4 linked regions of the Alligator mississippiensis genome follow. The protein of the gene in region 1 interacts with the protein of each later gene in a biochemical or structural test. Links are inferred from orthologs where the notes say so. Each region holds a gene or a part of one and is shown on either strand. Other genes may lie near its edges.

Region 1 (6,932 bases):
TGTTGTTTGGGTTGCTAAATCCTAAATTTTTGTGTAGTTGTAATTTTTCTTAAAACTGTTTCCAAGTTTTGGAGAAAAATTCTCTTTGTTGAAGCCATTGTTTGTCTGGGGGCATGTCCAACATGCAGAGCAAGGAAACTCGTTGGAAAAGAATTTTCTGCTTCTAGATCAGATTTTGTTAGGTCTGTGTTGTGTCAGGGCTGACGGTCTTCTTAAGTAGTTTAGATTATGGAGGGTATAGGGTGGTTGGGATAGCGATGATCCGGCCTGAGGCAGGGGGGTTGCACTAGGTGACCTCTGGAGGGCCCTTCCAGCCCTAATGCTCTATGATTTTATGATCATTTTGAAAAACCCTATCATTGGGATTCAGACAAAATATGAACCTTGCAGGCTTTGATTTCTGACCTCCTGTCTGGTCAGGCTCTGTGCTTCTTCCCACTGGCTTGGTAGGAAACTCTGAGGGAATCTTCTTCTCCGGGATTCAGCACTGGTGCCCCGGGGGAGCTGTGCTGGCAGATGCTGTGGCAGGCTCGAAGCCCTAAGACTGGTTGCATATGCATGAGTTGGGACAAGAGCCACAGGCTTGATTCCTCGTCATCACTACGGCGCAGTGCTCCCGTCAGCTCCACTGAAATGAAGCCGGGGCCAGGTTCAGCCTCACCGCAGCAAGGGCACAGGATCCGGCCCGCGAGGAGCGAGCCGCGTGGGGCGAGCCCGGCAGAGCCCGCGGCGCAGCCGCCGAATGAAACCAGCTGCAGGCTCCGGGGAGCGGCTGGCGGCTCCCTCCTGCGGCGGCCAGGGGGCAGCACAGCCCGCGCTCCGGCCGGCCCGAGGGAGACTCCGCCGCTGCCTTGCCCTTGGGAAACCGCTGTCTGGCACCCGGCAGCCTCTCCTCTCCTCTCCTCTCCGCCCCGCCACATCACACGGGCAGCAGCCGCCTCGGCAGCTCTGCCCCCCGCCTGCCCTCGGGAGCCGCCTCAGCCGAGAGCCTGCTCCAGCCACCTCCAGCCCCTCGGCCTGCACCAGGGAGCCTGACTTTGCTCTTAGGACCCCCTGGGAAACGCACAGCCCGGGGGGGTGGCTCAGCCTCCCACCGCGGAGACAACCAGATGCGGGATCCCTTCGCTCACGGATCCTTCCGGGGGGTCCTTCTTTGAGATGAGATGACCCCCTGGGCGGGATCCGGGCGCTGGGCAGCGAGGTCACAAGTCAGGGGCCAAATAGTTTCTTCCCCGCCCAGAGCCACTCGCACATGTGGACCGGACCGGACCGGATCTGGGGGAGGAAATGGGACGAAACCAGCGGGGTCTCTCGATGTTGAATGGGGTGCGGCCGAAATCACGCAGAAAGCTTAGGCAGCTTAAAGAAAGAGCAGCGCCGGCCGTGAATGGGAAGCACCCGAGGGGCTGCTCTCCACCCTGGTCTGCCTGCAACAAGGACCCGAAGTGAGCAGCTGGGAGGTGGGGGTCTGCCCCGGGACGGCTCAGCTCGGGAAGGCACGGGCATGGGGGCTCCTCCACCTCTGGATGTTACGAAGCCGGGCAGCTGGGAGGGGGAGGAGGGTGTTGACATTCACCCCTTCAAAGCCCCTGTCCTGGGTTTTTGAATGTCTCCAGAGCACGGACTGGCCCTTGGGAAGTGAAGCCCTGGCAGGCGCTGGTGTCCCGAAGCGGGGAAAGCGTGGGGGGATGATCCGAGAGGGGGGGGGGGGGGGGCGTCCAGCAGCAATAGCAACATCCAGCCTCGGAGTTGTTTTCCTAGGAAACAATAGGGGAGCCCTTGCCAAATTGAAGCAACATTTTTTTATGCGGGTTAGCCAGAAAAAGAAAAGAAAGAAGGAGAGGAGAGGAGAGGAGAGGAGAGGAGAGGAGGACCCGCTATTATTTCCTCCCTGGGGACTGAAATGCTGTCCAGGCTCGGATTGCCCTCTTCCCCGGGCAGGGCTCGGCTGCCCCACGGAGCAGAGGGCAGGGGTCCGCCTCGTCTGTGCCCTGGGGGGAGCCCGGGCGGGGCCGGGGGGAGCGGGAAGGATCCCTCGGGGCGACGGCGCGGCCGGGAGCCGAGCGAGTGCCCGGAGCCGCCCGTGGCCGCCCCCGCCCCGGGGACGTGGCTCTGCCCGCTGGGCGCCGCGGCTGCTGCCCGCGCTGGCCGGGCGGGGACGAGCCCCAAGGGATCCCGGGCCGGCGGGAGGAGCCGCGCCGCGGGGGCCGGGGTCTGGCGCTGCCGGAGCCCCCCGGGGCTGAGCAACGCCGCCGCAACCCCAGGAGCCATTTCCTCGCTCTCCCCGGACCCTGCCGAGGGGTCCTGACCGCATCCGCGCCGACGCCGGCCCGGGAGGGACGAGGCTGCGGGGCCCCCGGAGCTGTGGGGGCAGGTCTGAGGGGCCGCCGTACCCAGAGATCGGGACCATTTGGTCCTGCTGCGGAGGGCACCGGGAGTAGCAGCCAGGCTATGCCCCGCGGTCGCTTGTCCCGGCCCCCCGAGCCCGACCCAGCTCCCCGGGAGCCGCGACGTGTGTCCGCCAGTCTCTGCCGCTCCACCGCGGCCGCCCGCAGCGCGGGGCAATCCCCGTCCCTGCGCAGATCCCCGCTCCCGCCCCGGTCTCCATCCTGCCGCCCGCCCCCTCCCAGCAGCTCCCCGGGAGCTGAGATGTGCCCTCGCCGCCTCCCCGGCGCTCCCAGGTGAGCCGCCCCAGGGACTGCACAACCGCTGGCTCTGTCCCCCACACCCCCCGCGACTTGATGGCCTGCATCGGAAGGGACTGCTGTGCTTCGCCTCCCCCTGCTCCCAAGCGGCCCCTGGAGAAGGCGAGGCGATGGGGGACCGTCCCACCCAGCCCGTACCTGCTCCTGGCTCCGCGGACCCGCGCCGCCAGCCCTACGCGCGGAGTCCCAAATCCTTCCACGTCCTTGGTGGCTTCTCCTCCTCCCCCTAGATCCGACTGGGACGGGCTCAGAAACCGCGCCTCGTCATTGATCCAGCGCTCGAGTCCATCCTTCCAAAACTAATCATTTGCTTTAAGTAAATAGCTGTCAGGAAACGAAGCCCCCCCTCCCCTCCCCTCCGGCCCCTTCAGAATAAGAGCCGCCCTCCCGCGCCCCGCGCCTGCGGCCCCGCCGCCTGCAGCCTGCGTGCGGGGGGGGGGCTCTTGTGCAAGCAGGGGAGCCACTCGCCGCCTGCAGACTCCACCAGCCCCGGACTGGGCCGGGGGGGCAAAGGGGGGGGAGTTTAGCCATATGGCAAGGGAGCGTGTATGGGGGGGGAGGGGGCGAGGAGAGCTGTGCACTGCAGGGAGGGGGAAACAAAGTTTCTTTAAAGCCCCAAGTGTTCCCCGTGTCATGAACGAGCTCTCCTCCTCGGCCACGCACTCGGGGAAGGTGTGCCAGATGCCCGGACGTGTGTCCATCCTCCCCATGTAAGTCTCGGGATGAAAAGCTGAGCTGGAAATGAATGTCACGCCGTCTTTTCGACCCGACTGGGCTCAGGGCTCAGCGCACAAAGCCGCATGGCAGCGTCTTAGCCAGAAGCAGCAGGCACTGAGCCGCAGCCGAGTGAGCAATAGTTATGAATGAAAGAAACCGCGAAAGGTAACGCTAGGGAAAAAAACCCAACAACAACAACAACAAAAAGCCCGCTGCTTTCCGACAACCGGGAGGCTTGGGATGGTCTCGGCACGAGATCGGGGAACCCTGTCTAGACGACGTCTCCACAATTTTGAATTGATCTTGTGAATCCGGCTTTCTGGACAGGGCTTTGATCACCCGGCGGGAGATAAAAGTATCTCTGCCTTGCTGATTGTTGCTGCGTGCTGGAGACAGGGAGGGGTGGTGAGCGCCGAGGGGTATCTGTGCTGGGGGAGTGAGACGGGCTCTTTTCCGTGCGGTGTCTTTGCAGCGGTCGTGGGAGAGGGGGCACTGCAGCCTCAGGAAAGGAGGCTGAGACGCGTCCGACTGGCCCCTCTCGGGACGCGTAGGGCACCGGGCCGGACGCGCCTGGGCGCTGGGAAGGGGGTTCTCGAAGAAGAGGAGGTTACAGTGGTTCCCCCTCTTCTTGTCTGCATCCTCTGCCTGCTTTCCCCTTCCCCCGCGTAGTGCCTGCGTGCATCCCCCTTCCCTTCCTTTCTAAGCAAAACTTTGTTCTCAAAGTCAAGCAGCAGGCTCCAGAGGCTCCATCTCTCCCAGACTAAGGAGAATTAGTCTCTGAAGCGAAAATGCCCCCGAAGGGAAATGAGGAAGGCTGTGAAAGGCAGGCAGCGAAAGCATGGGCCAGCCGAGTCCCCGTGGCTGGGCTGGCAGGGTCCCCCCTGCCTGGGCTCAGTTGATCACATTGCCTGCAGCCTTCTGCAGCCTTAATACATCTTCAGCTTGAGTGAGTGCACAACCTCACTATTGCTTCCACATGTTCCTTCAGGAAATCATTGGAAGCAGATATATGAACAGCCCCTTGTTCGGAATGCTAACAGGATACCGTAATGCTTGTAAATAAATAACAGGCTCCCATGGATTGGAAGTAAGGGTAAGGGGCAGTGGAGGGTACACTCATCTTGCAATTTTTTACCTGACAGGTAAATAAATACATAAGTTTGATCGTTTAAAGTGGTGGTGACGAGAGAGAGAATGAGGAGACAAGGCTCTCAGGAAATCGAAAGGTGCTTTAAGATGTTTGAAATGCAAATGGACTTCAAATTTTGAAACAAAGTTAGGGTATCAGTCAGGGGCTGCCAGGAGCTAGCGTGGAGTGGGTTTGCAGGCTGGCTTCACTTTCGTTGCCTTGATTTGTGCACGGATAGGCCGAGTGACGCTGTAAAGGGACCTTTGATGGAGTACTTTCGTGATCAGATGTGACGGGAGACCCATTCTAGGACAAACAAAAAAAATGAAGCAGAAGAGGAAAAAAAAAACAAAAAAGAAAACAAAAAAAAGCTCCTTCTGGTTGTAATTACCTGCCTAATTTGAATAATGCCTTTGTCATGATCATTAACAAACAATCGCTAAAGGCTTCCATGTGGGAGATCAGATCACAGGGCTGAACAACAAAGCGAACCTCCTTGGAGTGCAGGTCTGGGGAGGTGTAGGTTGTAGCCGTGTTGGTCTGGGGAGGTGGCTGCCTCGCAGGCCTCCATCCCCGGCGGGACGCACGCTCCGGGCATGGTCCCCAGCCCCGGGCCGGGACAGCAGCAGGGCTGCCCTCGTCTCGGCTGACCGGGCCCGGCGCGAACATGCTTGGGGAGCGGGAGCAATTGTTAATCACTCGACCTTTCCTGCCTCTGCTCCTGGCCCAGCGCAGGGATTGGTACCTGAAAAGTGATGACATTAGCAGCCCTTTATCTCCAGTCCCGAGTCACCTCATTAATTAACCGGGGGAGCTGTCTCCAGGCCCCTCTGTGTCAATCACCCTGCAGGGCTTCGCCGGGGGGGAGAGCCAGGAGCCCTCTCCATGCTGTTGTTGTAAGATCCGACGAGATTATTGCACGGAGAGAGGAGCAACGCTGTCCTGTGTGGTCCCGCGCTTGGAAACAGGGCGAGAAATCTCCGCGTTTACAAGGCTGCGTGTTTATTTTTGTACCTCCCGAGGTATCTGCCGGGCAGAGAGCAAAGGGAGATGCACACCAGATGTGCCTTCGGGTGGAGAGCCCCGCTCTCCCCAGTTCCCAGCACAGCTGACTCTTGGCCATTTGCTGGGAGAGAGACCCCACTGTGCTCACGTCCCAGCCCCCTCCAGCCTCCTCCTTCCTGAGTTCAGAAACAGGCTTTGCAAACGGATCCTGTCGCGGTGCTGGCGGTGGAGAAGGTGGCACTCCATACCACTGTCACATGCCAGCACCCCGGGGGTGGCCCGTGTGCGGGGGTCTGGCTTGGGGGAAGGGGTTGGAGGGGGGGCGGGGGGAACCTGGTGGGCTAAGAAGCCCTGCCTTACACGGCACCCCACATCTGGATAGTTTTACCACTTTTCTTCCAGAAAAGCTTGGTGGTTGTGGCTTTGCCAGAGCCAGCAGCTCTTAAGGATGATGTCTTAAAACAAACAGCTCTCTCCTAAGCTAGATGCTTCAGCAAGATGTATTCCTGTGTGCGCTGTTTCCCAGATGGCTTCCGTGACCAGTTGTCTTCTCCCAACCCCAGCGAAGGGCAGCTAGGCAAGGCAGGAGGCACCTGAGCTGCTTGTGTTTGCGTGGGACAAACCCGAGTGCCTGGGCTCTGGGTGCAAAAGCAAGCACTTCAGTGGGATGGTTTAGGAACATCTGGGAAGGGGGTGGGGCTGGGCAACCCTTGAGGTCCCTGCCAACCCTGAGACTGTATGTGACAGTGGGGCCAAGCGGGTCTCTTCTATCCCAAGCTGTTACAGGGCTCCCTTTTCAGGCTCTTCCAGAACAGGCAGCCTGAAGCATACGGCGCTGTGCTGGGGGGAGGGAGGGCTGTTTATGTGGCACGCAGATGCGAGCTCCACATCTCCAACCAGTCCCAGCTGAAACAAGACAGAGCCTGGTGTTGACACCTCAGCCCTTCCCCGCGCGCTGACTGCAAGGCCCAGCTGGGAGGGAGGCTCCAGGGCTGCTGTGGGGAGCGGGCCTGGCTCCCTGGGGAGAAGGGGGGAGCTCTGCTGGGAGGAACCGCGCTTCCGCCTCTCTGGGGCTGCTCATTACAGTCTGCAACGCGCGGCTGTTTATTGGGCCGGGCCGGGAGCCTCAACCTGCCCCCCTCGCCCCTGCAGCGCTATTGGCCTCGGGAGAAGAAACAATTTGCTGGAAGTAATGACCCCTTTCCTGCCTCTCCCGAGGGTGCGATGGACTCGGGTTAAGTAGCTGAGGACACAAGGCGGGCGAAGAGTCCGTTCCTTCGGGCTTCTCCAGATGCCGTCGCAGGGAGGGAGCCTTTGTCTTGCTTGGCGGAGGCCTGCTTTTAATTATGGCAACCCCTGCTCAGGCATTTGCAGCA
Region 2 (7,438 bases), on another chromosome or scaffold:
AGAGGAGGAGAGAAGGGAGCAGCTTAATATACCACTAAAATAGCGTTCTCTCCTGGTATGCAAGTGCCTTGGTTTAATGCCTAAACATGGTATCTCACTGTCCAGGTTGGCAGCACTGCCAGTTCATACGCTCTGTCCTGAAGGTGAACTTTGTGTCACCCTGTAGTGCCTCCTCTCAGTCAGTTTAGAAATAGTGAAGGGCAAACACCCCTCATTTCAGGCTGTCTTGCTGAACCCAGTGTGTAAGGGCAGTTTAGAGGGAAAATGAAGGAAAACATTGCTAAGAATGCCTTAAGTCTTTCTGCAGGGTGGAAATGTTGATCTATTATTAATTCCCTTGCCCCCGCCCCCAGATTCTGTGCAAGGAGGGTGTGATGTTGTACATATTGAAGTCTAGGCCAAAACTCCCCCTGATTTTAATGGGAACAGGACTGGGCTCTCAACACTCATCCCAGTCCATTGGAAAAGACAGCAATCTGTCTCCATAAAGGCTCTGCCTTAAAGAGCAAGCAGGAACAGGTTTTCCAGGACTGCTGCTCTATTTGCTCATTGCATGGGTTACTGGAGAGGGCAAGGGACTGCTTTCGGATCACTGTACCTACCCAAAGCATTTTAATTGATTTGTGTCTATGATTGTTCTAGGTACCAGTTTCCTAGGAACGTACCTGGAGAGCTGCGCAAAACGTTATGAAGAGAACAGAGCTTAGTTCAGACTGAATGAGCCAAAAAAAAAAAAAAAATCCAAAAGGAAGGGCTGAGAGCGGAAGAATAACTATTTCCAGACATAATAATTGATTTTTTGTCCACATCTGAGTTCACAAATAGGGTGTGCTTGTACCTTTATCTGACTGCAGATACCAGTCGGGTAGTTAACAGAGCAAAATGATAAGCTGATCCCCACCTGCAATTCATTTCTGCAGGCCAAAATCTACAGGTGCTGATTTGGAAGATACAAGCTATGAACGCATAGGTAGGGAAATGAACAAGTACGGGCCAAAGAAGTGTGTGTTAAAGGGAAGAAGTCCAACCTTGAAGAAGCAGATGAGCTTCTTTTAAAATGTACTCCTTGTTTAGAGTCACTGGCCGATGAGACTTCCTAGATTTTATTTTTCAGATTCTCTCACCATGTCATTAATATTGTAGACTGAAAGACATGAGAAGCCAGTCCCTGAACGTGCTTTTTGCAGTTGATTTCTGGAACTACCATGCTTTCTGCTGTAAGGGCATTTGCATCTGCTATGTACCAACCACCTTTGGTAGGATCAAGGGCCCGGGAAAGCAAACAGGCCAGTCACAAAAAGGAAACACCTGGGAATCCTGTTTGGATTCATTGTAATGTGATTAGGGAAGAAGCCAATCCCCAACTGAAATCAACCACCCGGCAAAGTTCTGCAGGATCCCGTTTCATGCTAACAGCATTACAAACGTGTAGACTTGCACTGGACACTTAACAGTCATTTGTTAATGCTTGCCAGGGACTCAGAAATGCCAGCGTAGAAATCAGATTACGAGAACAGTGGCTGGCAATTGGAGGGACCATGTAAAACTGGCCTGGTTCCCTCCCCTGACTCCAGGGCTTCATTTGCACTTGTTTTTCTCTTCTCTTGCTAACTTTTTCTGACCCCAGCGATGCTTTCCTTCACACTCCTTCTACCCACTGCAGCTTTTCCTGCTGCCCCCTCAGGCCCTTGAGACTACTTCCTTTCCAGCAACCTTCCCAGCTGCTTGCCCTCCCTCACTATGTTAGGGCACACTCTTTTGAAACATGAGTTGGTTCCATTATACTGCCTGACCTAACCTTGTTTATGCCAACTGAGCCGGAGCAGATCTAAAAGGATGCTTGCAAATGGTGCTGGACTGGAAAGGTGCTAATTTGGGCCACTGTAGGCCTAGGACTTCATGTACAGGTCCTTTGGAAAACGATGCTGTTATCTAAGGATGATTTCACTTTATTATTTGTACTGAGCCCAGGCACGAACCAGGACTTCATTGACCAAGGTGTTTATACACACTCTGAAGATGATCTTTATCCCCAAATAGAATCCATAACTCTGATGTTTTCTTAAGTACATACAGCAGCTTTTTAATTGCCTAGACAAAAATGTGTTCTCCTTAATTCACCAGTCTTGTCATTCTCCCTCATCTTTTCAACTAAAAGATTAAACTTAAAATATTTAAACTTCTTCACCATCCCTCCCTTTGTATAAGTGGATATAGGTATTACATAAAAAGCCAGTGTTTCGCATACTTGTATACGAAACTTGTATACTGCACGGAAGATACCAGGCAGACGCACTATCCCATTTATTGGACTTGCATGGCATTCTTCATATGAAAGAATCCTGGTGTGCTTGTAGAAGTTTTTTCTCTATGCAACAAAAAGATCTTATAGGGAAGGCTTTCCAAATACAACATTTGTTTTGCAAGGAGGGAAACAAATGATCAAAGAGAACAAAGCTATAGGCAGGAGTTTAGTGTGAATTTAATTCAGTCGCTCTGATCTTTGGACTCTTACATAGTTTGCCTCATTATCAAATATTTTGCAAGGAATGATATAAACAGTCTCCTGTTAAAGACTGCTCCAAGTGTAATGTGATCCAGAGGAGAGATGCCCAGCTGATGGCAGCAATGATAGATGTAAAAAACATGCCGATGCAGTCTATTCCTCCTAGAATGAAGTAGAGGCAAAACCAAGCAAAGGTTTCCTCTTAAGAGATAGCAGCGAAAATGATCCTGAATGTTGGTTTGATTAGAGGTCTCTCCTTGAAGGAGTTACCACTGAGTAGCCAGCCAAGTCTACTTCTAGATAAACATGAGCCAATGAACCAATGAGTGGGAGGAATAATTGCTCAATGAGATTTGTATTGTCAGGAACAGCATAACCTTCTTAGAGGCATCTTTGTTTTTTATTATCATTGCTATGGCAACCTTGACCAGAGGTGCCTTTTGGGTTTAACCCCAGAGACTGATTAGAACAGGTCAGCCGGTTTCAAACTGAAGTCACCACTTCCTTGCTTGTGTGATATCTCCCTTCCCTCCCTGGCCCTCCAAGAGGGGATGGTAACCACCCACCTCTCCCCGGCCAGGGGTGCCCTAGCTGCGTGCTCAGCAGCTGGCACCCGGCTCCCTTCTCACGCAAGACCTTTGGAGGTGGGGGCACCCTGGCCGGAGGGCTGCCACTCCAATTTCTTCAAAGCCCCAGTCGTTTCAGCTCCTTCCCCCTCTTCCTCAAGACCACCCTGCAAGCCTGCGTGACATGATGAGAGAGCAGTAAACTGCACTTGAAAGCCCAGCTCTGCGTTTCGGTGGGAAACTTCTCTGCAATTGCAAAGCGCCCATTAAAGCGCAGGTTGTTTCCTCGAAGCATGCCCAAGCCGGGAGCTTGTAAAGCCCTTCGGGGCTTCTAGCAAGCCTTCCCTTTTGAAATGCTGGGTTGGGGGGAGGCTCGGAGATGAAAGGCTAAGTCTCCCTGGCTGTGCATTTACAGGCTATTGTCTTCCCCGCAGGATAGTTATCCCTCCTCACTTGTGTTATTGCAGTTAATCCACTTAAATGCCCCTGGATTTGCAGATGAGCTGGATTCTTTGCTCCCGCGATTAAGGCGCTTTGTCTGGAGGAGAAAAGGCTGCCGCTGTCCGAGTGACAACGAGTGCCGGGCGAGGGCAGGGGCTCGCGGGCACCTCGTGCCCATCCGCAGCGCAGCGCGGGGCGGGGCGGGGCGGGGCGGGGGTCTCGCCTGCCCGGCCCGGAGGGCGAGGCGCTCAGCGGGCAGCAGCCGGGAGCGTCGCTCACTCGGGCACCGGTTGTGTAAGCCGCAGCCCTGGCCGGCCGCTCCGGGGAAGCCAGCGCCGAGTCCCGGGGAGCCCGGGCTCATGTGCCAGGCGCACCCCGGGACATCGCAATCGCCCTTGTGCGCAATCCCCCGCACCCCCAACTTGTTGGAAAGCAGGAAAAAAAACTCTGCCCCCCTTTCCCTGCCGCAGCCCTCGCCCGAGACGCCCCTTGGACTGCAATCTGCATGCACACGGACATGCACGGGGTGCATATGTGTCCCCCCAGCGCCAGCCAGCCAGGACTCGCCCAAATCATGGCGATGCCCGGTGCCTTCCCGGCGAGGCAAGGTGGATGCCTTCAGGTTGCAGCCTGATCTGCGCAGAAGCTCCCACCCCCTCGCCCTCCCTCGCCCGTGCCGCAGAGGTGCCGGCCCGCCGGCTGCAATCAGATCCCCGCTCCCCCGAGCCCAGCCCGGCTGGCGCGGGGCGGTGCAGGGTCCCCCCGCCCCGGCGCTGCCGCAGGAAGAAGCCAGCCCCCCGCGACGTGTTGTTTGCGGCGGTCCGCGGAGCGCCCGGCCGCGGAGGGGGAGGGAGGGAGGCAGCCAGCGAGGGAGTGCCGGAGGGAGGCGCAGGGGGAGGCGCCGCTATATTCCCCTCCTCGGGATTATTTCCCACTCCACTCCGGAGCAACCCCCCCCAGCCCGGTGCACGGTGGAGACGCAGCCGCCTGGCTCCGACCCCCCCTGGAAGGAGGCAGGAAGGGGGCATCCATCTCCCCGCCGGCAGGAGCGCGGGTGGCTTTGCAGCGCGGGGGCCGCGCAGGTGATGGGCTCCCGCCGGGCGCCGCCCGCATGCGGCGGGACTAGTCCGCACTAGGGACCGTACAAACGCATCCCGCCCGGGCGCCGAGGGATGGTGCTGAGCCCCGCCGCGGCTGGAGCCGCCGCCGCGCGATGAGGACCTGGGCTGGCGCCTTGCTGCTAGGGTTTGCCTACCTGGCCTTTGCCTTCTCGGAGGTACGTGCTGCCGAGGAGGGAGGGAGGAAGGGGGGGAGATGCAAGGGATTTTTCTTTTTCTTTATTTATTATGTATTTGGGGGGTGGGGGGTGAGCAACCAGCCCGCGGTTGCTCGGGGGCGCAGGCTGCAGGAGGCAGCCGGCGTGCAGCGCCGAGCGCCCCGGAGCCCGGCCGGGAGGCGCAGGGCTCGCAGCCGTGCTGCTGGCCCCGGGGAGGAGGGAGCGGGGGCTCCGCAGGTGCTGGCCCGGGACCGTGATTGGGTGTCTGGTCTGTTTGAAGGAGGCTGAGATCCCCCAGGAGCTCATCGAGAGGCTGGCGCACAGCGAGATCCACAGCATCCGCGACTTGCAGCGCCTCCTGGAGATTGATTCCGTAGGTAAATTATTCTCTTTCCTTCCTTCCTTGCCTGGTATGCCGCTGCTGGCACCTGGGGCCGCGCCGATCAGCACGTGTCCGCCGGGTCTGAACCCTCCAGTCGCCCTTTCCTACCAGACGGATCTAGCGCAGGGCTCGGGATCCAGAGCAGGGACCCGCAGGTGTGCCCCCCTCCAGCCAAACCAGGGCTGGGAGAGATGCAGACCAAGGGCAGCAATTCCTCAGTTACCTCCAGACAAGAATCCACTCCCAGGTCAGGCTCAGGAGTCAGACAAGCAGATGGTGAAAGAAACTCTTTGAGTTTTAACTCCCTGACCTTTATAGCTCCAGACCTCTTAATTTCTCAGCAAAGAAGAATTTCCCGAACCTTTCTTGTTGTTCTTCTCCGGCTTGGCTCTCTATAAACTACTGTCCTAGAGGCATTTGAGATATTTGAAACAATGTTTATGAATGAAGTCATGTCTTTTTCAAGACCTGGGGTTTATTAAAAGGAAAATAAACTGTCCATTCTGATCTTAACCAGGACCCTTCCTCGGGTGCTTACCCTTGACAAATACCGCCCTTATTCAAAGGAAAATAGCACAAGGTTATTTTCTGCCTGGTTAAGCATGCAAAGCAATGGAGGGAGAATGTGCGGTTCACCAGTGCTCTACCCCCTGGTATAAAGATCTCAGCATCATGGCAGCATTGAATGGGTGTCATTAAGGTTGGGTTGTTGCCCTTTGCTTTTGGTGGTTCCTTCTGTTAGTTTGTGGAAGAAGGAAACAGCATCTTTGGTAGAGCCGTGTCTTTTGTGAGAAAAATCAAGGAGTCTTGCTCACAGCGGTATGGGGCATCTCCTTTAAAAAAAAAAATCTTATGCTATGCATTTTTTTCTCTGAAATATGTGCTGTTTAAATCATTATCATTCAGTGCTACCAGGTCTTGATTGACTCGCTTGCCTTCTTGTTAGGTGAAGTATTAGTGAACAGAAATGTATGGGAAACATAGCTTACTGATAGAGCTCTTAATTTTTATGTAATTATGTTGTAACTGGTGTCTCATTACAGTGAAAATTAAAATGCTCCTGTCTTTCAGGGTACTTTGCCATAAAGGCTCATTACTAATTACTAGCTTGATATGCATTGGGTTGATACTTTTAGAAACAGAAGTTGGGATTAAGGAAGCTTTCAGGCAGGGACAAAACCCTGAATTGAATGTGCGTAATGCATATTAGCCTGCTCTAAACTGCAGTCTGTACCGTGCACGTGCACCAGGGCCCAAGAAATTTGTATGTTGGCTGCTGGAGAAATAAGGGCGGGTGAATTTTCCCTATTCTCTATTTCCGGTATCTTTGAGGCAGTATTTTGTACCTCCCAGAATATAGTATGTCCGGATACTTCAGCATAACAAACAAGTGCTTCATTTTTAAATACCACTTACGACGAAAGCAAAAGTTCACACGGTTCCGTGTCTAGAGGCAAACTGACAAGCAATGGTGTGCCAGTTGAATAAATTAGAGAAGGTGGCAGATCAGAGAAGATTACTGTAGGAAACGAACTGAATTTTGTTCATGCTTGCTGTTCGCCACTAGGTAAATAATTATTTCATTCTGGCCCTTTACTGCAACGCACTGGTTCAGCAAGTGGCAGAGAAGCAGGAAACAAATGTCCTTTAAAAGCTGAATGTGAAAAATTATTGTTTTATAGAATTAAAAATAAAATGGAAAGGTCCAGTCTTGCCATGTTCCTCCTGCGATTAGTCCTTGCAAAGCCCTCTTCTAAGTAGTAGTTCCAATATTGATCCCTACTGGGAACATAGTCAATGGCTATCTCAGTTTATGCTTAAATATATCAGTCTGGCAAGCTTTACTTTCATAAGTAATCCTTACTCCCCTGACTTCTTATTGCCATAAAAATACAATCAATTAAAAAACTGGATTCAGCTAGTCTCCTTTGGCAATAAAGGCTTGGGCCTGTTTAGAGCATTGTAAGATTAGCTTGAGCTAGAGGAAAAAAAGTCAGATATCTGATAGCTAGTGCTGCAAAGAAAATATTTTGGAAAGCGGAGGATTGCCTTTCTTGCAGTATAACGCATCTGTTAGGTAACAACTGCAGTTTTAACGGATTTGTACAAGACAGTTTCCATTTTTTTGTTGTTTTTACTACTACTCGTTGTAGTGCATGTTCGTGCCAGTGCTTTCCTGAGTGAGTAGGGCTCGTAAACTCAGGGGGGGAACTCAAGTACCGTGGATTACTCTTCCGAGCAAGAGTTTGTAGGATCATTCATGCAGC
Region 3 (7,568 bases), about 33 Mb from region 1:
CCTTATGTGTGCCATGTCAATAAAACTATTAGTCCCAAGTCTTGCTTGTCATTCTTTGGTGTCCTAAAACCTCTAACAGCCACATGCACTGGGAGAGTGGGAATGATTTCTGTTCTCCTGCACCGTAGGTATTTTCCTGCAGGGAGGACAAAGGTTAGTCTGATTGGTTTCCTGTCAAAATAGCTGGGTTTCTGACTCTTTTGATCACTTTCCCCTGGCCTTTTGCAGTTACTCTGATTAGAGACTGATCCTTGTGCTGCTCTTTGATCAGCAGCTCTGGCAGTCTGCAGGTGCCATATGTCATCACATTAGCAGGCAGCAGCATATTAATCTCCCCTGCTAAATTTGATAACACACTACACATTCTACTAATTCATACAGTGGCTGAAAACAGCTTCTGACTTCTTTATTTGCTTTGCATTAGAAGATACCATACTGCAAAAGATACCAAGGGAATCCCAAGTTCAAACCTGACAGTTTGGGTTGAATTGAGACAGTTTTTAAACCTGAAATTGTTGTTGTTGGTGCCTGTATGTCATCTAGAACCTACCAAAACTTTTGAAGTTTTCTTCTTGTGTCTTTGCATTGGTTTGTGTCTAGGAAGAAATAACATCATTCTAACCTGACATGCAAGCTGCTATTTTTCCCCCCTTACATTAGCATACATCCCTGGAAAAGAGGGTGCTTAATAACCTCATTTTAGATATTCTGCACTAAGTGTGGTTTCATGTGGCACAGGACATTTCTGCTGGTAAAATATTCTTTAAATGACTTCATAATCACAGATCAAGAGACAAGGCGTTGAAAAAAAATCTGAATAATGTAAATCATATGGAGTTCAGAGGCTAAGCAAATTACACACCCTGAAGCTGCCCTCGCTGCATGAAAGGAGCCTTTCTCCAGCTTCGCGCAATCCCAGCCCAAGGGAACTTGCATTTGAGAGTTTTCTAAACATTTCAGGTACACTTGAAAGCTGAAAGTAATTCTCATTTCCTAGGCAGGATTAGCTCGTTTCCAGTCCATACAAAATAGAGCTCATTCACCAACACACACTAAAAAAAAAAGCCCTACCCCCAGAGCCCTAAGGACTGAGGGCACCAAGGTGTGTTTAAAAAACAAAAAGAAAACACAACAAAACAAAAAGAAGAAACATTTCAAAGTCTACCCAGAAAATAAAGCTCAGCCTGGGAACGGAGGTCTTTCTTTGCTCTCTTTTGGCTCTTTAACGGGTACCCTTTTACCTATAGTGCTTCACTTAACCAGGCTGACAAGTTTCCTAGAGTGACACACACACACAGCAGGGTCAGACCTGCCAAGTCTCATTCATTTTGGCTTCGATCTTAAAGACTCACTCTGGCGAGGAAGAGTTCCCCCCCGCCCCTTTCCCCTTGTAGTGAGTTTCAATGCTATTTGTAAGGATATTTGCTAAAGCTTCCCTTCCACTTGAGAGCATGGCCAGGGCTGGGTGAGGGTGCTAGCTTTTATTGGACCAACTTTGCAGCTGGGATAACATTAGCCAAGCTCAGTGACAGCCCTGCCTGGGAAGCTGCAAAGTGAATTGCAACTCTCCTCTCCACTGCATGCAGACGAATAGTGCATGTGTACGTGCATATGTGTCTGTGTGTGTATATGTATATGTATGTGTATATGTGTGAGAGTGTATCTGTGTGTGGGTGTCTGCATGTGGGTGTTTGTATGTGTGTGTGTATATGCCTGTGTGTGGGTGTCTGTATGTATATATATGTATGTGTGTGTATGGGTCTGTGTGTGGGTGTGTATATATGTACATGTGTGCATGTGATTGTGTATGTGTATGCAGATAGATAGATAGATAGATAGATAGATAGATAGATAGATAGATATCTGTGTTGGGGGGTGTCTGTCTGTGTGTGGGTGTCTGTGTGTGTGTGTATATATATGTGTGTGTATGTGTATGAGTGCATGTGGGTACCTGTGTATATGTGTCTGCATGTGTGTGGGTGCCTGTGCATTTGTGTGTGTGTGTGTGTGTGTGTGTGTGTGTGTGTGTGTGTGGGCAGGTGTGTATGTATGTGTCTGCGCATGGGTGCCTGTGTATATGTGTGTGCATGTGTGTGCATGTGTCTGCCCAAGGCTGCCTGTGTATATATGGTGTGTATGTGTCTGCATGTGTGTGTGGGTCTGTGTGTGTATGTGTGTCTGTGCATGGGTGCCTGTGTATATGCGTGTGTATATGTCTGCATGTGTGTCTGCCCGCGGGAGCCTGTGTATACATGAGGGTGTGTATGTGTCTGCATGTGTGTGCGTGTGTGTCTGCGCAGGGGTACCTGCGTATATGCGCGCGCGCATGTGTGTGTGTGTGTGTGTGTGTGTGTGTGGGCGGGGTGGCCATGCGGGTGTGCACGCGCGGGTGCCCGTGCGGGCGTGTGGGGGGTGCGTGCCCGCGTCTCTCTCTGCCCCGGGCCTCACCGTTGTGCTCCTTGGCGCTGGCGAACTGGAGCTTGGCGCTGAGGCTGGACTCCGCTCGGGCCCCGCGCCGCGGGCCCGGCCCGGCCAGGGCAGCTGTCAGCAGGAGGACGCCGAAGAGCAGCATCGGGCTGCCGGGGGGGCGACGGCACCGCACACGCCGGGCACTCGCAGCTCCGCGACCGGTCCCGCCGCTGTCTCACCACCCCCGGCCGAGGGCTGCGCCGCGGGGGAGAAGGCAGCACTGAGCCTGCTCGGGCAGCGGAGAACGGCAGGGTACTTTCCGCATAATCCCATCCAAAAAACTTTTTCCTAGAGCCTTGTCTCCGCGCCTCCAGGTCTCTCTCTCGCGCTCTCCCTCTCTCTCTCTGAAAGGATCAAAGCAAGCGCTGGACCCCGACCAGCTTCCCCAGAACTAAACAATCCCGGCGCGGCGCTGCCTGGGGCTGGGCCGGGCGAGGCGAGGCGAGGCGAGGCGGGTGCGGGCGCCCGGCGCGCGCGGGGGCCAAGGCGGCGGCAGCGGGGGTGGGAGGGCGGAGCGGAGGGAGCCGCCGTGGACTCCGAGGAGCACCTGTCAGCTGCGGGAGCCGGAGCCCAGCCAGGCCGGGGGGCGGGGAGAAGCCAAGCCCCTTCCTCCAGGGGGCGGGCGGCACCTGGCTGCAGCCTCTCCCCCCGGGGGCTGCTGGCGGGGCGCCCGGGGCGCGGGGGGAGCCGCGCGGGCGGCAGATGGGAAAGGGGGAAAGGGCTGGGCTCCCGCCGCTGGCCTCTTGCCTCTCTCCCTCTCTCCCCCTGCCTTTGACTGCCAACTGGCGACACAACAGGTGCTATAGCACAGCAAGCAGCAGGGCCCTGCATCTCTGCCCCCCGCTCCAGGGAGACGCTGCCCTGCCCCGCTAGGACCCCCCCAGCTCCGTCGCACCCTGCCCGTCCCAGCTGCCACCCTCCCTCCCTCTCACCCCTGCTGGCTTGGAGGTAGGGTGGCCATCATCGAGGCGGGACCGGTTTTCTGCTGCTCTGTCCTCTGTGGATACGAAACCCAGCACCTTTAGGTCCTCTGTTTTTCTGTCCAAGAGAAAAGAGGACCTAAAGGTGTTCGGTTTCGTATCAATAGAGGACAGAGGACAACCCGACTCGCCTCTGTGATGGCCACCCTACTTGGAAGGGGGCTAGGGACAGAAGTGACACATGGACTGGTTTAAGTGATCCCAAAAGCTAGGGACAGAAGTGACACAGAGACTCCTCCCTAGCTTGCCCCTGGGGCCTTATGGCTAGCCTATGGTTAACCCTTATGGCTATGGCCGTATGGCTAACCTTATGGCTAACCCTAGCTTGCTCCTGGGGCCTTATGTCTAAGGGCAAGCAAAACTTGGGGACATCTGAACCCCAAGCCTCTGGGCTTGGGCCTGCACGTAGGATGCCCGCCAAAGGATTTGAGAGCATCTGAAGCCTCAGATGGGGGTGGAAAATGTTTGCCGGTAGTAGGCCCACTTATGTTTCTGGACTGCTTCTCGGATTTGGAATTTGTTTTGGCTAATTTGGCTTGGAATACGGACAATTTAAAATCAAAATAATTTTTAAAAAAATGATCAGAAACTGGTTTGAACCTGGAACAGCATAGAAGCTCAGTGCACAAATACCGGTTTCAAAAGGCTGCAACTGGTTTAAGATAAACCTAATGGAATGTTGTATCAGACTTAACTGATTGGGGTCAAACCAGTTTATGAAACTTCTATCCCAGGCCAAACTGGTTTAAATCTGGAACAGAACAGAAGTTTGGTGAACCTAAATGGGGAGGCTGGGCAACAAGGTTGCTGTCACCCCCAGACAGCACCGGCTTTGTAGCATCTCACAGGGTTTGAATGATACTTTGATTCTTGGCGCAGCTGCAAAAAAATTTGAACCAGTTCATTGATTAACAAGTTCACCTAAGTGAAGGAGCAATCCGATTAGAGACCCACCCCCAGGTTATGATTTTCAAATTTTACAGGCAGAATCTTGTCTCTTATGGCCCGCCCCCCCGCAGCTCCCCTTTAATTCGCACCCTGGCGTCATGTACTGAAGGTTTGGTGCTATTTCAAAACAGGGCCCAGTAAACAGGTCACCACAGGCATTCAGCATGACTCAGGGCTTCTTGTCTAAGGCACTAGCACAGGGAGAGAGGCCCTCAGGTTTCTATATTATCAGGGAGGTTTTATTTTTGCTCCCTACCTCAGTAACAAAACTCACTAGCTGCTCCTACCCAACAAGTGGGAGATGAGGCCCAAATGTGAACACTGGCAAACTTCAGGCAGGTTCCAGGCTCTAAATTCAAACTTGCAGCAACTTTTACAATGGGCCCGGTTGAAGCTCCATATCCAAGCTCCTAAGGAAGGCAGCCACAGATCCAGACGTTGGCCCTGATCCTGCAGTCAGATCTATGTTGTCAGCTCCTCGTGCTCCCTCACAGCCCTGTTGGCTTCAGTGCAGTCTGGCAAAAGCACCAGGGTTTCTCCACAGGGATCCAGTTGCCCTATCAGGATCTTTGTGGTTCAGGCCAATTTCTGGTTTCAATAACCAAAGAGTAATGACATGGGTTTATTTGTTTGCTGTGATATTATCTTTATGTTTATATGTGCTGTGTTGATTTGTTTTTACAGGAACTGGCTTTGAATTGGAAAATTAAATGCATAGTTAAGCTCTTCATTTCAGGCATTCCCCTGATATTTGGAAATAAAATATGAAGAATTTGTTTTAAAAATGTTCTGCCTGCCGATTAGTTCTCTTTCATCAGTACTTGCTGTTTCAGCTACCTTGAAATGAGAAATTGAGTCACTCATGTTCACAGATTGATTCTGCTTAGTTTCATTAAGATTTTGATAACTATTTCTGCATCTTCTGTTGAAATGTTGTTTAATAACTTACATCCCTATACCATGAATCATTAACTATTTTGTTGGCTCTGTAAGCAAAAACATATTCTCTGGCCAACATATTTAAGGGTAACCTTAACAGGTTAAATGCACCTACTAATACAGCCACCTGAGCAACGTGTGATAATCAGGGATCCAGGTTTTCCATTTCCTACAGAAAAAAACCTGAAGCTTTTCTCTTTTGATGGAGAAAAACATGGAATTTTCATTTTAACAGAGAAATGCATAGATTTTGCACTTCTGCAAAGAGCTCTATGCAGGCTGGCAGAGTTCCAGCCTGCAAGGGGCCAGAAGGAATGAGAGGAGGTCGGTCAGATAGGTCTCCATGTGCACACAGCCTGGAGAGCAGCTTCCACAGGTAAATCTGGTATGGGGGAAAGGGAAGACTGAGGCCCTCATACAGAGGAAGCGAGATGGGCAGGGCTGCTGCCCAGTCCAGGCGGTTTGTGTGGCTTGGGGCCTGGGACTGGAATGTGTGGCCACAGGGTCTAGGCAGGGAGTGGGACGGAGACGTGGGAGGCTCATTCGGAGGGTGGGAGGGCTGGCTCCCAGCTGACTCCTGGGGGGCATAGGGAGCACATGCTCCCCAGTTTTATCTGCAGGGCAGGAACACGGGAGGGCTGCTCACTATGGGCTTGGGCTCCCCGCCCTGCTGTCCTCCCCCGCCTCTGCCCCCCACTGGGGCCTCCACAGCCCAGTGGGCAGGACCAGAACGGGACCAAGCGGGGAAGCTCCTTGCCACTGGAAGCCCCATGCTGCCCTGGAGGGGTGCCCCTGCCTACCTAACAGCAGTGGGGGTGGTAGTGTGGGATTGTGCCCCCTCATTGCTGTTGGGCAGGCAGGGTTGCCTTGCCAGGGTGGCCCAGAGCTCTCATGGGAAGAACTGAGCCTCCCGTCCCCACTCTGGGCTGCTGTGCTGGGTCCTGCCCACTGGGCTGTGGAGGCTTTACGGGGAGGGCAGCAGAGTAGGGAGCCCAAGCCTGCAGTGGGCAGCCTGCATCCGCCCACCACAGGCTTTGCTTCAGCTATACCTCCTATGGGGGATGGGGAGCTGGGCTCCACGCTTTGTTCTATGCTCAAGCTGCAGGAGCCACTGCCTCTTGCAGGCAGCCACTGAGGCTTGGGTTCTGCTGCAGGAGACTGGAGGCTGACCCCATATCCCTGGCAGCTGGGGGCCCCCTCCAGCAGGGCTCGGGGGCACGGGGGACTGCGGGCAGGGACTGAGGAGCACCAGCAGGGCCAGGGGGCTGTGGGTGGGGATTGAGGGGCACTGGCAGGGGTGTTGGGCTATGGCTTGGGAGTAAGTGGCCTTGACCTGCATCTCAGTGAGTGAAAGGGGCAGGGGGAGCTCTGATTTTCCATGATAAAAAACCCAGAAGCAAATAGCAAAATTTATAGATACTTAGAATGTATTTTATTATAGTGATTGAGGCACTGGTAGGCTTTCAAATGGCTTAAAAATTGTAAATATATCAGTAAAGCATTGTGTTCAATTGATACCTGTCTATATAGTGGTGGTGCATTTTAATCATGGATTTGAGGATTTTAATCAAGAGAATTTGTGATTTTTAAACTGAGGAAACCAGAAGCCCTGGTGATAATGCAATAAATTTAAGGCATGATAATGCAATAAGTCAGCCACAAAGGTATTCCACACATAATGGAATTATTCATGGAATATGTGGAATACCTTTGTGCCTCATTTGTTTTTACCTTAAATTGAACATGTGGCCAGGGCATCTCAAAACGTCATGTACTGTCCTGGGCTCCACCTGCAACTGCAAGTAAAGCAACCGTAAGTAAAACCCTCATCCCAAAATCACCGGTCCTGCCATGCCTGTGTGGCATAGCAGGATTTTTAAACTTGGGACCAAGGATTACATTCCATCACATCTTAAACTGAACATCTGTCAGGGGCCTACAGGGACTTGATGTTTATCTAATACAGTGATTCTCAACCAGGGTGCCACAAGATTTATTCAAGGGTGCCATAGGGTGTACAAATAGGTGTTAGGTGTGCAAATAGGATTCACAAGATAAACCCAGAGTTTTCAAACAAGAATCCATAGTCAAAAGCATTCCGACTTGTTCTGATCTTTCTGAGTTCTTTGCAGCAGAATTGCTGTATTATTTGTCTGTAGTCACAGACCTAGAGTAAACTAAGAGCTGACATTTTCCATGGGATACCTTGAGTCGAACAAGGGGTGCTTTGAG
Region 4 (7,584 bases), on another chromosome or scaffold:
TCCCTTGGTTTTATTTTGGCTTGGCTGCAAGGAGAGAGATTGCAGCTGTTGAAAGGGTGGGGCCCGAAGTGTGCCAGCCCTTCCTCCTAGGTAGGTGAGGCACTGGAGTGGAGGGAACAGGGGGTGTCCCTCCACTGGCAGGGCAGTGAAATCTGCAGGATAACTCATAAGAGCAGGGAGAACAAAAGAAGAATTCTTTCCACAGGTTCCTGGTCAAAACAACCTGTGTTGGCTGCAGCCCAGCTCCCAGCTTTCCCTCTCTGCCAGGCTCACCTCTAGATTAACTCCCTCCTAGCTCTCACCCTTTGCCACTCTGCCTCTACCCTCTTTGATATACTAGGAGGGTTGTACTTTAGCATGCTGCGTGTGTCTGTACTCAGATGGATCTTGTTCTGAGTTGTCTGGGAAATAAATGCTGGGAACAGAATGGCAGTCCTCCTCCAGCCCTGCTCCTCCTCCTTTCCCTGCCTCTCCCAGACTGAAATGCTTTGCTGCTGCCAGCTCACCCGAATGAAGGAAAGGGCACCACAGATCCGGCTTGATTCCTACAGACCCTTTCTAATGATCCTCCCCTGCAGCTATACATTTCCAGCCACCCTGCTGCCTTTCTCCCACCTTTCTCCCTTCGTCCTGCCCCTTCGGAGGTGCTGTCTTTCTCGCACAGCACAAACACACACGAGCCACCCACACAGTGACATGCACATGGTCTGATTTCCCTCTTATACTGACACTGGACAGAACTAACTCCACCACAGGCAATAAGCCAGACCCTCAGCTCATGTAAGTCAACTTAGTGCTGTTAAAATGAATGAAGATGGCCCCCTTCCCCTGCTCCTATGAGATAGAGTTAAGGGTCTGTCCCAACTGAGTTAGACTGGGGTAAAACTGGTACAAGTGAGATCAGAGTCCAGCTCCCACAGGTATGCAGGGCAAGGTTATATACACAAACCTCTTGGAAAAAAATAGAACTAGGAAAGCAAAAGAAAGGACTTTGGCCCTTTAAGAACCCCACCTTCAAAAAAAAAAAAAATCTCTCTCCAGTCTCTGCAAATCCCTGCAATCTTCCCTTCTGCTTCCCTCTTGGGCATTTGTTCAGAACTGATATGAGGAGGTTGCTGCAGCTCATGGCCCAGACCAGCTGGAGAGCACACTGCTGCAGCCAGGGCTGGCATTGCACTGCAAGGACTCCTGGAGCTCCCAGCTTCCATTCAGCCTGACCTCCCATCATGGGGAAAACCATCAATCTTGAGCTACCAGAGCTCTTCCATTCACTCCATCTCCAGCAGCTCCCAAGACATACTGCAGGCTCCTTTCATTCAGCCTTCAGTACCCCTCCCTCCACGCAACAGGTTGTTGAGGTCCCCTCTTAAACTACCAGATAGGTTCAGCCTTGCTTTAATTCTGGCAAAACCCAGGCTCTGCGATTCTTCTCCCTGCTACTTGCATGCACAGATACACCCTGAGATTCCCTTGGATTGCATTTTTTTGGTTGGGGTGTGGTGGGAGGAGATACTGTGGGAAGGTACAAGCAGGTAGCCCTAAGCCTCAAGGTGGCAATTCATTAGCTACAAGGGCAAGGGGCAGTGGTGAAGCACTGCAGAGAAAAACAATCTGACTCAGGTTCATTTAGTTTAAAGAGCAAAACTCATAAATGCCAGAGAGATTGAAAAGCCGCAACTGCCCCACTTGTCCACAATGGGTGGGGATGGGGAATATACCCTGGAGTCAACACAGTTCTTCCACCCCCTCCCATTGCCCTTTACCTGTCAGGGTGTTGCTTATTCAAAATATGAATTCCCCCTTATTTGTTTGCTTGCCTCCTAAAAGCTAAGAGAAGTTAATTAAAATAACCATAAACGCACAAGTGTTCAGAGACACACTGAAACCTGTCAGAGAAACAAGCTAAAAGGAGTTCTCCTTCTCTCTCCTCTCTGTAGTCTTAATGCTGGGTCTAAAGTTTACAAGATATGGATTTGTCTCCCTCGTAAAAGAAAACGGGTCTTTACTCACCTCAGTGCTGATGAGAGGCAGGTACCAGAGACACACGAAGAGCACCCCGAAATTCATACCTACTCCTATCCCCAAGAGTTCCAGACACATTGAAGGGGAGACTTGACAAGAAATCAGTCTCCGCTGACAATCTAGTTCCAGCCTTGCCTCATGCATAGAAGGCTCTGCACACTCTCATTTCTACACTCCGAGTTATTTTCCACAATCTTGAAGTGGGGAGGAAAGGGTTAAAAAGAAACCCCCCTTTTTCCTCTAAAAAAAATAATTCTGTATGAGTTGTCTGTCCTTTTTTCTGTCTCATAAACCAGAAGGAGTATAGGAGCAGAGCATAAATAAAAAATGAATGCAGACCCCCAAAAATGTATGCATCCAGTCTGTATCCCCTCTTAGTGAAAGAAATCTTTCTGCATTTCTTTTTCTCAGGTGGTCCACCAGCTTGCTTTTTCCTTCTCAATTTCCTTTTTCTTTAAAAAAAAAAAAAAAGTCTTAAACAAGAAGGTAAAAATTATTTGCCATATTTTCCAAATATCAAAAACAAATTCACTAGTTCCTCTCCCAACAGAAAACTTTTCCAAAGTTTTATACAAAATCAGGTAACAAAGTCTTCTTCCTAAATTTGTACTTTTTTCCCTATAATCTTTTTCTTCTTCTGGTATATTTATTTTTAAAGAAATGCTGTTGTTGATTGTTTTTTCTGTCTAAGTTTGAACTTCTGGTCTTTGGTGCCTTTTCTTTCAAAATATTGTTGGCAGTTTGGTTGAATGTGAGCTCTGGTTTGGTTTTGCAAACAGGTGAGCAAATGTTTTTGCTGGACTCTGGGTGTGTGTTGAGTCTCGATAAGTCTCAAGCTCTGAGTGACTGCTGCTGCTGTCTCTTGCTCCCTGTTGCAACAAGAAAAAAAAGGTAAAATCAAATGGGAGGAGAGTGAGCTGCCGGGAAAGAGCTGGTGGGTCTTTATTTTAGTCTGCAAGAGAGAGAGAGAGAATAAGGTGCCACCCTTTCAGCTGTTCCTTCTTTTAAAGGAGAAGAAAGAGAAGGGGTGGAGACTGTTAGCAACTCCTCTCTTGGCTGTGTATCAAAGAGCAAGAAAAAAAAATATTCTAGTGAGTCAATTCAGAACTCACCGAAATGAAAAAGACCCTCAGTAAGAAACACAGGGAATGTGAATGTAGAGACAGAATTAATATCAAATAAGAAATGGAGAGAGAAAATCCTTCAGGATTGGTGGGGTGAGAAATAAGGAGAGAGGTATTCCAGCAAAGTCATGTTTGGCCCATGACTAAGACTTTCACTGCTGCCTGAGCACTTTTTTAAGCTTAACTTGTGATTTTCCCCACCCTGCTTTCTCTGGAGGGAGATATGGTTGTAATACCTTTGATCTCTTTACATGCACAAAAAGAAACATTCAGGAGTTGTTAGAACAGAATTTGTGTTGCTCCAGGCACTAAAATGTATTTTGCCACACAGTTATCTCCCCAATGTCATAAACATCCAAGGGGAAATGAAGCAAGCAGATATTTGCTGAGAAAAAGGGGGTCAAGTAGGAGGACTAGCTAACAGGTGAGCTCAAGACAGAGTCATCTCTTACCAGAGAATGTACCTGCACATGCCTTCTCATGTCCACAGAGGTGTTCTCTTCATGCACATAACAACATGCTGTTGACAACAGACACATCATGCACAGTCATAGGGTGTTTTTTGCACTTCACACACACACACCCCCATGCACTCTCCTGTGCATATAACCATAGATACTGACTTGCCTTCATATACACAAGTTTGCTCTTTCCTTCAATTAACCTAATCTGATGCAAAGATCACACACCTCCACAATGATAAGCAAACTCATTGCACTCATATAACCACAGACACCTATGTTTTGTCACTGACATACACGGTCACCTCTTCTCATACAACCCTCATATGTTTCCATATGCTATACACAGTCCATCACCCACAGACCTGCCCACACTACCCCATGCTCTTTTCTCTCTGACACAAAATCAGAGATGCACCTGTTTTGAGCCAAGTGCCTGTTTCTGCTGGAATTTCTCCAGCAGAAACATTATTTCAGTTTTAATACCCAAGGGATGTGCAGGCACTTCACATAGCAGAGAGCAGGACCCTGGTGGTGCAGTGAAAGCTCACAGGCACCGCCCCTGCTTTCTTCAGTGATGGTATGCACATAACTGTAATTGTTAAAACTCAATTCACTGAATTAGAATGCAATTCCTGATGTGTCCTGGGATCTTCTCTCCAAGCAGCAGCCAGCCCAGTATGACCCTTATGCAGTATGACTCAGTGGTCATCACAACACCTCCCAGCTTAGCTTTTTTGTACCCAATGGGCCTGATTTGGATCCCCTTCATGCTACACTGGGGTACATAAAAACAGAACCAGGCTCATTTCTACAGTGCTCACCTCTCTAATAATCACCCAACCACCTCCTCTGCTCCCTGCAGCAGATAAAAATGCAACTCACAGAAAATCTGACAGTCACATAGGCAGGCTAGACGAAGGGAGGTGCTTTTGCTGCTTTAATTCTGAATCAAGAAGCCAGTCTCTCTCTGGTTTAAAGTCAGCAGAGCTATGCAGTTACAACCACTGGGGAACCATCCCCAGGCATGGAGGAGGAGGGAAAAGGCTTGACATTGGTTTAAGAACCACCTCCTCCACCCCCAAAACTGAGATGGCAGATTCTGTTCTAACTGCTGAACAGAAGCGTTGGGAAGCAGTTATTTGATGTTAGTCTCCCATGTATTTCCACCTCCCCAAACTGTCACAGATCTTGAAGAACCTTCCCCTTAATCCCTCCAATTGCTTTAGTTACACATCCTCACATACACAGAGACACTTGGCATTTCTGATTCCTTCATTCTTTGGGCACGATCCATCTTAGCCTGGGCCACACCACATCAACCATCATCACAACATGTCCATATAGAGTCAGATCTGCAACTATGCTAAACTAGCTCCACTGACATCAACCAAGTTAGGCTGAATTACCCCAGCTGGGGACCTAGCCCATAAACCCTGCTGGCAGTCTTTATTTGCTTAGGACTGGAGCAGTACATGTACGGGAGGGTTATTTTAGCTGGTCAGAAATGAGATGCATCAGTCAAGGTGAGTGGGGATCAGAACTATTGTAGCAGAGGGTCCTGCAGTTTTGCTGGGTGACAGTGGAAAATGCCGGATGAGGTTAGAGTCTGCTTTTCTATTTCCGGCTCAATTATGTATGTGCTTGGATGGAAATACAGTTATTTATTTTGATGTGGATGATGCTGGGCAATTTTTAGAAGCTCAGCTTCAGAAAAAAACATAGCTAGTCCCCATTGAAGCCTGTGGACAAGGAAGAGGATGTTTGTAACTTGACTACTCATCTACCTATGACCCCAGCTGGAAAGAGCAAAGCAGGATTTAGAGTGAGTAGGATTTCAGACACTTTTCCTTTACTCTTTCTGTTTTTGAAACAGGAAGAGATTTTTCTCTCTTATGAAAAAAATCTTTTAAAAGTATTAGAGCAAATTCAGATTCAACGCAAATGGGTACCACTCCACTGAACTCAATATTATTCAGCTCCACAGAGCTGCTTATGCTTAAGCTTAAGCTAGCTATGCATATGGCTGGTTCTGTGTCCTTTCTTTCAGTGCCTCTCTGAAATGGGGTCTTCAGGTCTGTAGTAATGTCATTTTGCTGTATCATCACCTCACAGTGTTTTGCTGCTGCACTGTCATTGCTTATTGTATGGCAGCAGGGACGAGGTTTGGTTGTGCTATAATGATAGCGAGCCAAAACATCATCATACAGCATCATGGCTTGATGAGGCAATGTCATAGCCTCAGAATGGCTCAAGGGATCCCATTACACAGACCACAAACCTGAAGGGATAGGAGCCCCTTGGGGTTTCCTAGCTTGGAATCTTAATAATGAAGGATTGATTAGAAAAGTTTTTCCCTGCCTTTAACCAGTGAATAATTATATTATCCTCATGGCATTCATTGTCTTATTATTGGGAGCTGGGTTAACAGGTGAATAAATGTCTGCAGACAATCTATATTCCCTATCACTTGGCTTTTCACCCTTCAACTTAAACACTGTCCAAAAAAAACCCCTCCGCTAGCCAGAGACCGAGGCCAGATGCAGACATTACACGTTTACCGGTATAAGTGATCGGAAACCGGTAACAGAAGTTCAGCACACGTAGACTCATTGGCGGTGCATAGGGGGTGCACATGGGTGCATGTGCACCCCCTGAGATGGGCTGTGCACCCCCTGGAAGTGCCAGCCGCAAAACCAGAAGTGCACTTCTGGTTTTGCTGCTGGCTTGGCGATTGGCTGCTGGGGGGGCCCCCGTCAGTGATCTGCTGCCCCCCCAGACTCAGGAGGCACCAGTCGCCCATGTGTAGACTGGTTTAAAAATAGCAGAACCTGATCTAAGATTTGCATCCCCACCACAAAGGGCAGATGTGTGTCCTGGTCACTACTGATCTAAACTACACTGCTTGCAGAAAACTGCATGCCTTAGATTGATTCTGCCTTGGGCTTTTTTAATGTCTGTACCTAGCCCACATGTGCAAAGTAGGAGTACTAATAACTTTTTCAAGCAGTTTTTAGGAATGAAAGCAAAATTCAGCTGAGAAAGAAGAGCAATACTGAGTCTGAATGGTAGAATCAATCACTGAATAACAACAGTATTAGCAGAGCCTGAAAGTCAGGATGGGGGGTGCCCCAGTAGAGCTGAGCGGGACTGCAAAGACTGCAGGACCAGGCCTTTGGTGCGTTGGTAGAGTTGTCTGAGGAGCACAGCCTGGGAAAGCAGAGGCTGTTGCAGGGGAGCAGTACTCATTAGCAATGGTGCAGGTGAGGACACTGGCAAAACTGGAACATGGTGGGTGGGGAACAAAGGGCACAAACAGCCTAATTCAGGTTCAAGATACCTTAGCAAAGTTTGGTTTGTTAAGAGTCACTAGGACGGAAACAGCAGGTAGTCATATACTACTATTGCACATGGGCAGATTCGCCTCTGGTGTAACTCCCCTGACTTCAGTCAAACCACAGCTAAGAATGAATTTGGTCTCAAATAATGTTTTATGATTAGTTTAGGCCAGAGGCCAAGTCCAAGTTCACATCAGTGTTATACCCATTAAACTCTGCTGGCTTCGGGTTTACCGTAATACAAGTGAGCCTAGAATCAGGTCCCAAATATGTGATTTACGCTGCTATTTATGTAATTTGGCCCAGAGACTTCCATGGGAGTTGCACCCACTTCCTGAAGGCTGAATTTAGTCTAAAGGAGAAAGAAACGAGGAAAGGGGAAGAGAAAATGAAGGAAGGAGACAGAGACAGGGTGGGGAGCATTGTCATTTATAAATACATTACTGAAGGACAGAACAAAAGGTGTTCAGGATTTGCATCTTCTATCTCTGTGCTGAACTCCAGGAACTAAGAGAACGAAGGGGTGTCTGGGGTCTCAGGTATTAAATAAAACCCTCACAGAACAACAGCATGCAGAGAGAGAGAGGGATGCCGCTTACGGAGTCTGTGCCTGTGATGAACTGCCAGGCTTCCTCAGGG

What was found.
Region 2: the proteins of PDGFRA (region 1) and PDGFA form a complex in vitro, tested with the Homo sapiens proteins (2 studies listed by BioGRID). The link is inferred for Alligator mississippiensis from reciprocal best matches to the Homo sapiens genes PDGFRA and PDGFA.
Region 3: the proteins of PDGFRA (region 1) and PDGFC form a complex in vitro, tested with the Homo sapiens proteins (2 studies listed by BioGRID and IntAct, with this or other methods). The link is inferred for Alligator mississippiensis from reciprocal best matches to the Homo sapiens genes PDGFRA and PDGFC.
Region 4: the proteins of PDGFRA (region 1) and PDGFB form a complex in vitro, tested with the Homo sapiens proteins (3 studies listed by BioGRID). The link is inferred for Alligator mississippiensis from reciprocal best matches to the Homo sapiens genes PDGFRA and PDGFB.

Annotation. Positions count from the first base shown.
Region 1 is NC_081825.1:59,716,698-59,723,629, reverse strand, and holds the start of PDGFRA (platelet-derived growth factor receptor alpha), read right to left. Parts: upstream 3,009-6,932; 5' UTR 2,844-3,008; intron 1-2,843. UniProt on the Homo sapiens protein: Tyrosine-protein kinase that acts as a cell-surface receptor for PDGFA, PDGFB and PDGFC and plays an essential role in the regulation of embryonic development, cell proliferation, survival and chemotaxis.
Region 2 is NC_081836.1:49,243,062-49,250,499, reverse strand, and holds the start of PDGFA (platelet-derived growth factor subunit A), read left to right. Parts: upstream 1-4,418; 5' UTR 4,419-4,726; coding exon 4,727-4,789; intron 4,790-5,069; coding exon 5,070-5,166; intron 5,167-7,438.
Region 3 is NC_081825.1:92,511,384-92,518,951, reverse strand, and holds the start of PDGFC (platelet-derived growth factor C), read right to left. Parts: upstream 3,001-7,568; 5' UTR 2,573-3,000; coding exon 2,449-2,572; intron 1-2,448. UniProt on the Homo sapiens protein: Growth factor that plays an essential role in the regulation of embryonic development, cell proliferation, cell migration, survival and chemotaxis. Potent mitogen and chemoattractant for cells of mesenchymal origin.
Region 4 is NC_081827.1:99,161,654-99,169,237, reverse strand, and holds the start of PDGFB (platelet-derived growth factor subunit B), read right to left. Parts: upstream 3,009-7,584; 5' UTR 2,167-3,008; coding exon 2,011-2,166; intron 1-2,010. UniProt on the Homo sapiens protein: Growth factor that plays an essential role in the regulation of embryonic development, cell proliferation, cell migration, survival and chemotaxis. Potent mitogen for cells of mesenchymal origin.